2 linked regions of the Arabidopsis thaliana genome follow. The protein of the gene in region 1 interacts with the protein of each later gene in a pairwise test. Each region holds a gene or a part of one and is shown in the gene's direction. Other genes may lie near its edges.

Evidence for each region.
Region 2: the proteins of AT1G52550 (region 1) and AT1G26180 interact in a protein complementation assay, tested with the Arabidopsis thaliana proteins (one large-scale study listed by BioGRID).

Annotation. Positions count from the first base shown.
Region 1 is NC_003070.9:19,572,236-19,575,916, reverse strand, and holds AT1G52550 (uncharacterized protein), read left to right. Parts: upstream 1-1,857; 5' UTR 1,858-1,917; coding exon 1,918-2,161; intron 2,162-2,580; coding exon 2,581-2,732; 3' UTR 2,733-3,162; downstream 3,163-3,681. Other genes in the region: AT1G52560 (HSP20-like chaperones superfamily protein), read left to right, coding at 151-430, 716-1,134.
Region 2 is NC_003070.9:9,052,789-9,057,492, forward strand, and holds AT1G26180 (uncharacterized protein), read left to right. Parts: upstream 1-1,884; 5' UTR 1,885-2,035; coding exon 2,036-2,383; intron 2,384-2,604; coding exon 2,605-2,685; intron 2,686-2,789; coding exon 2,790-2,849; intron 2,850-2,931; coding exon 2,932-2,975; intron 2,976-3,129; coding exon 3,130-3,172; coding exon of another isoform or gene 3,173-3,211; exon of another isoform or gene 3,212-3,264; coding exon 3,265-3,336; intron 3,337-3,428; coding exon 3,429-3,530; intron 3,531-3,618; coding exon 3,619-3,738; 3' UTR 3,739-4,153; downstream 4,154-4,704. Other genes in the region: AT1G26170 (ARM repeat superfamily protein), read right to left, coding at 1-3, 90-153, 255-371, 464-550, 676-791, 916-1,087, 1,170-1,262, 1,367-1,428 and 1 more; AT1G26190 (Phosphoribulokinase / Uridine kinase family), read right to left, coding at 4,497-4,704.

The DNA of each region.
Region 1 (3,681 bases):
TAGAAACTTCTAACACCTCTTAGAAACCAACCTTTTAGCATAAACCCTAATCCCATCTTTATAAACCAAACACTTCTTGCCTTTTTCTTGCAAACTCACAAAAAAGAAGACAAGAAGACAAAAATTAAGAAATTTACCGATTTGAAAACAATGGCTCTAGCTCGTCTGGCTTTGAGAAACCTTCAACAAAAACTGTCTCCTAGTTTGATGGGTCAATCTTGTGAAAGAGGTTTGGTCGGAAATCGACATAATCCAATGAAGCTAAACAGATTCATGGCTACTTCGGCTGGTGAACAAGAGGATAAGATGAACACAGAAGTGAGTGTGTCTGAGAAGAAATCTCCTCGACAGAATTTCCCCCGGAGACGTGGCCGAAAAAGCCTCTGGCGTAACACCGACGATCATGGCTACTTCACTCCCACCCTAAATGGTACGTTTGTCATTTTAGTTCATTATTGATATACCTATTTAGCAGAAAATTTCAATAGTGTCACAATAATAATATTTTCGAAATAAATTATATAAAAAAAATTCAACATTTAAGTGTAAAATATATCCCATAAAAGAAAAATTAAGAAGAAAATTTGAAATTCTAGAATCATAAAAATACATCAAATTTTAAATTTACATTTTCATTGCATTAAATCTCATGAAACATAATTAATGTAAACCTCTATTTTTGCTTGAATTGAATTTTTTCTTCTTCTTAAAACAGAGTTCTTTCCTCCGACTATAGGAAATACTCTGATACAAGCAACAGAGAATATGAACAGAATTTTCGACAACTTCAACGTGAATCCATTCCAACTAATGGGTCAAGTGAAAGAGCAAGACGACTGTTACAAGCTCAGATACGAGGTTCCAGGGCTAACCAAAGAAGACGTGAAGATCACGGTAAATGATGGAATCTTGACGATTAAAGGAGATCACAAGGCGGAGGAAGAGAAAGGCTCACCTGAGGAAGACGAGTACTGGTCTTCAAAGAGTTATGGTTACTACAACACGAGCTTATCGTTGCCTGATGATGCTAAGGTTGAGGACATTAAGGCGGAGCTCAAGAATGGTGTGCTTAATCTTGTGATTCCTAGGACGGAGAAGCCAAAGAAGAATGTTCAGGAGATTTCTGTTGAGTAGAAGAGATACGGTGTCGTTTTTGTGTTCTTTGATGGACTAAGCAAATTAATGTTGTACCTTTTTTATGTTTATGCGAATGGAATCAGTTATTAAGTTGCTAATTAACTTAGTTCATTTGCGCAAACAAAAGAAGCTAGAAAATACATTATAGACTAATTGAACAAGCAAAGAATGAACCAGTTTTGTGTTTGTAATGAGAATGGAATAAATTGTTATTCAGCATAGTTAATTTTCGCAAAAGAAAGAAGCCAAAATTAATTAAAAGAAGCAGCAAATGTTGTGTCCCTTTTATGTTTTCTATGCGAATGGCTCAATGGAGTAAATTGCTAATTCACGTCATGAACACAAAAATGTTGATATATTAAACAAGAAGTCCATTTTTGTACCTCATATCAAAATTTTATTTGTAAATTTTGTATTAATAATTGTGGATTTGCTATACTATACTATGAAATATTTTTCTTTATAGACAAGTTATGTTATACATTAAATTATTTATTTATTAATAAGTACAGTATTTTAGTGTATTGTCAGAGTTCAGTTTCTTTAAAGAAAACACAATATTTTTTTTTTTTGTCGTCAAGAAAACACAATATTTATGTTAAACAAAAATGCATGATATTTCAATAGTTTGTGGAAAATTATAGAAAATATTTCATTTTCCTTCTTTTAGTTTGGTATTAAGAAGGAAAAAACCAAAAACATTTTTTTGATAATGTATACATAAATTAAAATTAAAATAATGAGAAAACAAAACAAGGTCCAAAATACCTTGTGAAGAAAATGGCGACGGCGTTTGCCAACACGACTTCAAGCTCCAACCTTTACCTCCATCGCTGCCGTAAAAACCATCCTCTTCCATCTCCGTCGTTCTTTTCACCGTTCCGGTCGTCTCCACTTCCTTCTCAGACCCTTTTCCTCGTCCCCACTCCAAAACCTGTACGACGCATCGCGGTCGCTCCTCTCGGCCCTCCAACGCCGCCTAGTCCCGACCCACCTCCGCCTAAAAACACGACTGAGCTCACAAGTTCGTCTTTCCCTTCTTACCCTTAAAACTTCAATGTTTCAACTCTGAGTTCTGATTTTGTTTACTGCCAATTCTATTTTTCAATCTTTCCTAATTCGATGAAATTGCATTACGGAATTCGAATTAGGAGAATGAAGGTGGTTTAACTGCTATTGATTCGTAGATAAAGATGTTAATCTTAGTCCTCAAGATCGATTACTGTTCATTGCTAAAGTTTTGATCTTTGTGACAATTTATAGACTTTTACTCTTGTTAAGCATTAAGGATTTATAAATCTCCTCCTTTTACAACTTGTGAATGTCTTCCAAAAGTTCCACCATTTTCTTTTCCCTACAGGTTTAGTCATTGGTTGCAATACGAGAGCAATCTTCTTAACAATTTGGATTCATAGTTGTTGTTTGGTATCACATTTTGTGTAGGTCTTGTGGGAGTAGCGTCGATGATTCAAGACCGTGTAAAGATCTTTCTTTCAGTACTAATTTGGATCTCTCTCTTCTTTTGGGCTTCGGCTTTACAAGGAAGAGGCAGCAAAGGTAATGGTAAAGGGAAGAAGGGTTCACGCTTCAAATAGTATTAGTTAGATTGGTGTGGTGATGATGATGATGATTGATGAAAACTCCTCTACACGTTTGTGTATATATACAGAGGAAATATTCTTCCAAGTAAAGCAAATTTCTTGTCAGACTACAGTTTTATACTAGAAACTAGATTGTTCTCTTCTTACGATATCTCTAGCTTAGAGCTATAGAGATTACTCTACTGTGATGAAACTAAAGTAGTTTGCATTTAAGTCAAAATGCCAAATCAATATCATTGTTTATTGAAAGCTGTTTCAGATTGTAAATGACTAGATGTGTTTGGTGTGTGCTTGATTCAGCCAAACGGTAAACCGCACCGTTTCTTTGATTTGAATGTTTGTTGTATAAAATGGGCCTTTAGATATGTTATATAACTTGTTTGGGCTTCAACATACTCTTTTATTGGGCCTCTCTATATAATATAATATTTCCAAAGTTGTATTTAATTATTATTTGATTTATATTTAAAACAGTGGTTGTTTATTCATGATATGAAAAAAGAAATAACTGGATTTAGGTAAACCTTATTCAATACTGGGACAATGAATTAACCAGCTCATGATTAGTTGGACCTGTTTTGGTTAAAGGCTGGTAGTAAGTTTAGAAACAGAAATTTATGATAAGAGCCTAACATTTTGTTCTGACCACACTGAGTAATTTAACAATCTATCTAAATTAAGATTTTATGCTATGTTTAATTTATATTTGTTCTGATTATAGCAAATAAATTTCCATATCTAGAGATCTTCTTCATACACAATAAAAAAAACTAGTATTTGAACTTTTGTATGTATTAAAAATTGCAAGATTTTGTAAGTACAGATTCACCAAGGTGAGGTGTGTGATTAGGAAACTTTGATTAGTTGTCATGTGTCATCAACAGGCCATGAAAAGGAAATCTTTGAAATTCAAAAAACAATACCTTTTGATGAAATTATTACT
Region 2 (4,704 bases), about 11 Mb from region 1:
TAGCTGCACATATATTATGTTTCAATAATGATGCTTCAGATGCATATGTTTGAATAAAAAAAGTACATGGGTAACACACGAGAACATACCCATCAATTCACTTTCGATGAGAGATGGGAAATTCTGTACAAACTGATTTAGGCACTTCAAGACCTAATGAGAGGAGGTAAAATCAATGCAAAGACAGGGGCCCGATATACAATTCCGGGAGTTCAATGGGAACAAAAGTAAGACAATTACAAGATGAGACGAACCTCCATTCTTAAACTCCAATCATCAGGATCCTCGCGTTGCACAGGATGCTCCAATATAAGTGAAAACTGATTCATCCAAACCTTAAGCACAGGCGTCACCAAAGTAGTAGTTTCCGTCTGAATATAAACACATTATATATGTAAACTGATAACAGAAGTAGCTGAAGCAAATCACATTCAAGATGTATGTATTATCAAAGAAAAAGTACCTTGTACACACCGCTCATTGCTCCAAGAACATATATACATGAATAAACAATTGTAAGGGCTTTTCCTCGAATATACTTGTCATAGCTCTACATATACAAAGAAGTGAGCTCCATAAGGGCCTCTGTTACTAAAATTTTCACATAAGAGACCTTGACATGCCATAAACGTGATTCAACATGAGTCTGATCGTATCAATATAAGAATACAATACCTGAGGAGAAGATACGACTGCATGCAAGCAGGGAAACAACACAGGTACCAGCGTAGGAACCTCTTTGTCATCCAATTCACCAGAGAGAAGAGCCAAACACCTCAAAGCTCCATGAACTGTTGAATATGGAAATAAATTCAGCCTCAGGAAACCTCGTAACTATTCTCATGAAAGAGTACAGAAATGGGTAGTAAAAAAAGAATTTGTCTCTAGAGCAAACAAAATTGATCGAAAATATACCTCCATTAGTGTTACTTGGATCGCTAATCAACTTCAGGAGAAAAGGAACTAGCTCAGGCCACTCTTCTGGCCAATCATATGTGGCAATTGACGATATGTCCATACTAATAGCCGTACAGATTTTTCTATGAGAGTCATCAAGTGAGCCCAACAGTTGTCCTCGAATAAGAGCCTAATAACATAACCAAAATAACTTCCTAAACTATCTCAGCTGGAAATCCAAAACAAACAATAAAAGAAGACAGTGAAAGTACCTTTTCCTCACTTGAGACAAGAGGATATTCAAAAGCCTCCTCGTTCTCTCGCCAATGCTTTTTAATGAACTGCTTTAACAGTACCGCAGCTAAGTAACAGTAGGTTAAGAACTTCACAAGCCAAAAAAAGGGAAAACACTCATTATATCAATAAACAAGCTCCAGGGGATAACAAATCAATGACATGAAAAGGATATTTGACGCAATCCCAAAGAGAGGTCTTTGTTAGCAGCAACTCTGCACAATGCACTCCCAAACCCTACAAGAAACAAACATCTTTTGGGTAAAATCTAACTACAAAAAAGAATCTATAGAAGAGAAGCAACTAGCTCGAAAGTAACCCAAACGATTTAAGCAACGGACCTGGTTGAAGAGAAGCCTGATTGAGAGAGGTCTCAGCGAAAGAACGAACGTTCTGGTTAGGGTCAAGACTTGCTGATAAGCAACCGAGCAGCCATTGCTGATCTTGGTCCACCACCATTGAGAGATTAATCGATGGAATCCAATTCCAGATGGGATCAAGAAATTGAGTGTTTGAAAATTGTTTTAGCTTCCCTCAATTTTCAAATTCCCGCTTGTCCCTTTGGTATAGGAGGATGTCGGAGAGACAGTAGAAACCAAATGGAGTTTAAGTAGTTCACCTCTCCTAGATTTTGTTGTCGAGAAAACCCTTTATAGACAGAGGTTGCAGAAGAAAGAAGCAATCAAATAACCAAAATAAACAATTACCAAACCGGATTTTAACCGTAGATTTAAATTGGTATAAATCCGGCTTAGTGTAATTTCATCAATCGAACAGTTTATCTCCAGAATCAAAGATAAACGGAGGAGAAGAGAGCTTCGTCGTCTTCTTCTTCTTCGCCTCCATGAATCTCCTCAAGACGATTCATTACCAGTCTACCATTACTCGATTTTACCGTTTTGCCCCTACACGCTCCTTTGCTTCTTCTGTGTCACTCTCTCCACAGAGACACATAATCTCTCTCGTTTCTATCTCTAATCGTGGAAGGTGCTTCGCATTCTCGAGCGTCTCTGGTGCTTCGCTTTATAATAATCAAGAGGATGGGAAGAAAGAAGAATCCGAGAGAAATTACGCTTCGACGAAGGAAGGAGATGAAGTGGTTTACCAGAAAACGCTGAGATTAGTAGAATGTGCCATGTTCGCTGCTGTGACAGGCCTCGTTTACTTTCTCAGCAATTCTCTCGCCATTGAGGTTAATTTTTCTTGCCTTATAATTCCCATAAGGACATTGGAGTATTGAGGTTAAGTTTGATCTTATTTTTCATAGAAGACATTGCCAAAAATGTCAACTTTGGAAACAAAGGATGTGTGTGAGAATCATCGTTCTTTTGTGTGTTTGATCGTTAGTGTGATAAACATTTCATACTTACTTGTTCCTTTTTAATGAGTATGAGTTTACATTTTTGAACGCAGAACTACTTTGGGTGTTTCTTCTCACTACCAATTGTGATTTCTTCGATAAGATGGAACATTGCAGGTGGCAGGAAGACAATGGTTTGTAAAAGAACATTCTTTTTCTCATTAATAAGAATTTCTCAAGTTTTTTTTGTGAATATGTGCTTCAAGTCTTTTGTGGTGTTTGTTTGTTTGTTTCTCAGGTTGCTACTGTCATGCTGTTGTTCATATTATCAGGTCCGGTCAAGGCATTAACTTACTTTGTAAGCCTCCGCTTTCCTAGATTGCCAAGCAGAGTTTTATCTCGTGACCATTGCTTAACTTTTGGAGATTTTATTTTTGTAGCTTACTCATGGTCTTGTGGGGCTTGCACTGGGATCATTGTGGAGGTAGTTGAATTCATACACTCCTCTCTATCTTTGCACAGTTTCTACTTTCTAGTTCTCTACTGCAACAAAAACATACATCTTACTAATTCCTGTCTTTACTGTTGAAGAAAATGTCTCAGTTGTTTATTTTCTTGCAATATTATTCTGTTCTCAGTATGGGGGCAAGCTGGCGTCTCTCGATTTTCTTGTGCACAATGGTGAAATGTCTGCTTCCTGTGATTACACAGTACACTTAATATGTCCTTATCTCTCCTTGTTTACTTGTATTATCGTGTTTCCTCCCACGCAGGTTCGAGCATTGGGTCTCATAGGCTATGTTCTGACATCATCCTTCTTAATAAGAGAAAATATTCTCGCTGTGGTAAGCTGCCTCTTTCCCTCAAATACCTATCACTCTTTTTCACCTAAAGAAACTCTTGTACAAATAAAACCACCACTGCATTGTTGTTGCAGATCACAATTAACATCCACGCTTCTCTCTCTTATGTTTTCACGGCCATGGGCCTGAACATAATGCCTTCGATGAGCCTCATTTATATGATATTTGGGACAGTGGTACGCAATCTCTTTATCCCGCTTTTCTCTGTTTATCTCGGGAAATTAATAAAAGAAGCCGATAACATTTTGCTTTGATTCTCAACAGCTGTTACTTAACAGTGGATTCTTTGTGTTGTTGCTGCATCTGCTATACTCGATCTTCCTAACAAGACTAGGAATGAAATCTTCGTTGAGATTACCAGCCTGGTTGGACAAAGCTATATGATGGGAATCAGGATCTCTGCTCTGCTCCTATTTTTTTGCAGCTCCATTGGAGAATCCAAACATGCATGGCTTGAGCATTTCTGGTAGAGCATATATGTAGTACTTATAAAGTAGGTGTTTGTGTCTATATGCATATGTATAATGGTTAAAAAGGGTACATGGACTTAGCTCACCCGTCCTCATCATTCATCACCTATGATGAAACAAACAACATTCAACCCAATGTAATGTCAAGTGGTTGCATTAGATTGTTCTCTTGGTCTAGCTCGTAGAACGATTTTCATGGGTTGTATATTGTTTTGTCAATGCAATTGCCACTTTGAAGACTCGGTTCCTTCAATAGTACTTGATTTGAATTTGGGTGTTATGAAAGTTGGTACAATGACATGTCCCAATTTAGCAACTCTTAATTTTTTCTTTGAATGAGTATAATAATGGATGAGTCTACCAGTCTATAACGTTGTTTTTGTATTTGGTACTTTTAAGTTTTAACAATCTCCCTGTCACCCTGTGTTCAACTGCATCCAGGTCTTGTCTTGATCCTTGTAAAAACCCAAAGAAGTGACTTGTAAACTAAAAACCTAAACTTTATTGAATAAATAATCGAGAACGTCTTCCAAACGACTAATTTAGGGGAAGAGAACTGGCGTCATTGTCTACGTAGAGAAACCAGGGAAGCTCACAAAACGCCTCCAGTGAGAAAAATACCAAAACAAAAGAACAAAAAAAGAAGAGAAAACCCATAGTGGCTAATAGATGTTATTGCCGCTTGTTAATGTAGCTCTTGATCACTATAATACCTATGCTGCAAATAGCCACGGTTAACACAAGAGGGAGCTTGTTAGATTCCACATTGGACAAGAAGGAGCTTTTGCTTGATCTGCCTCTGTTACCGCTATTGCTGCTCCCTGTTCTTGCTAGGCGTGACCTTTCTGCTGAGCTTTCCCTCATCAGATTGCACAAATTA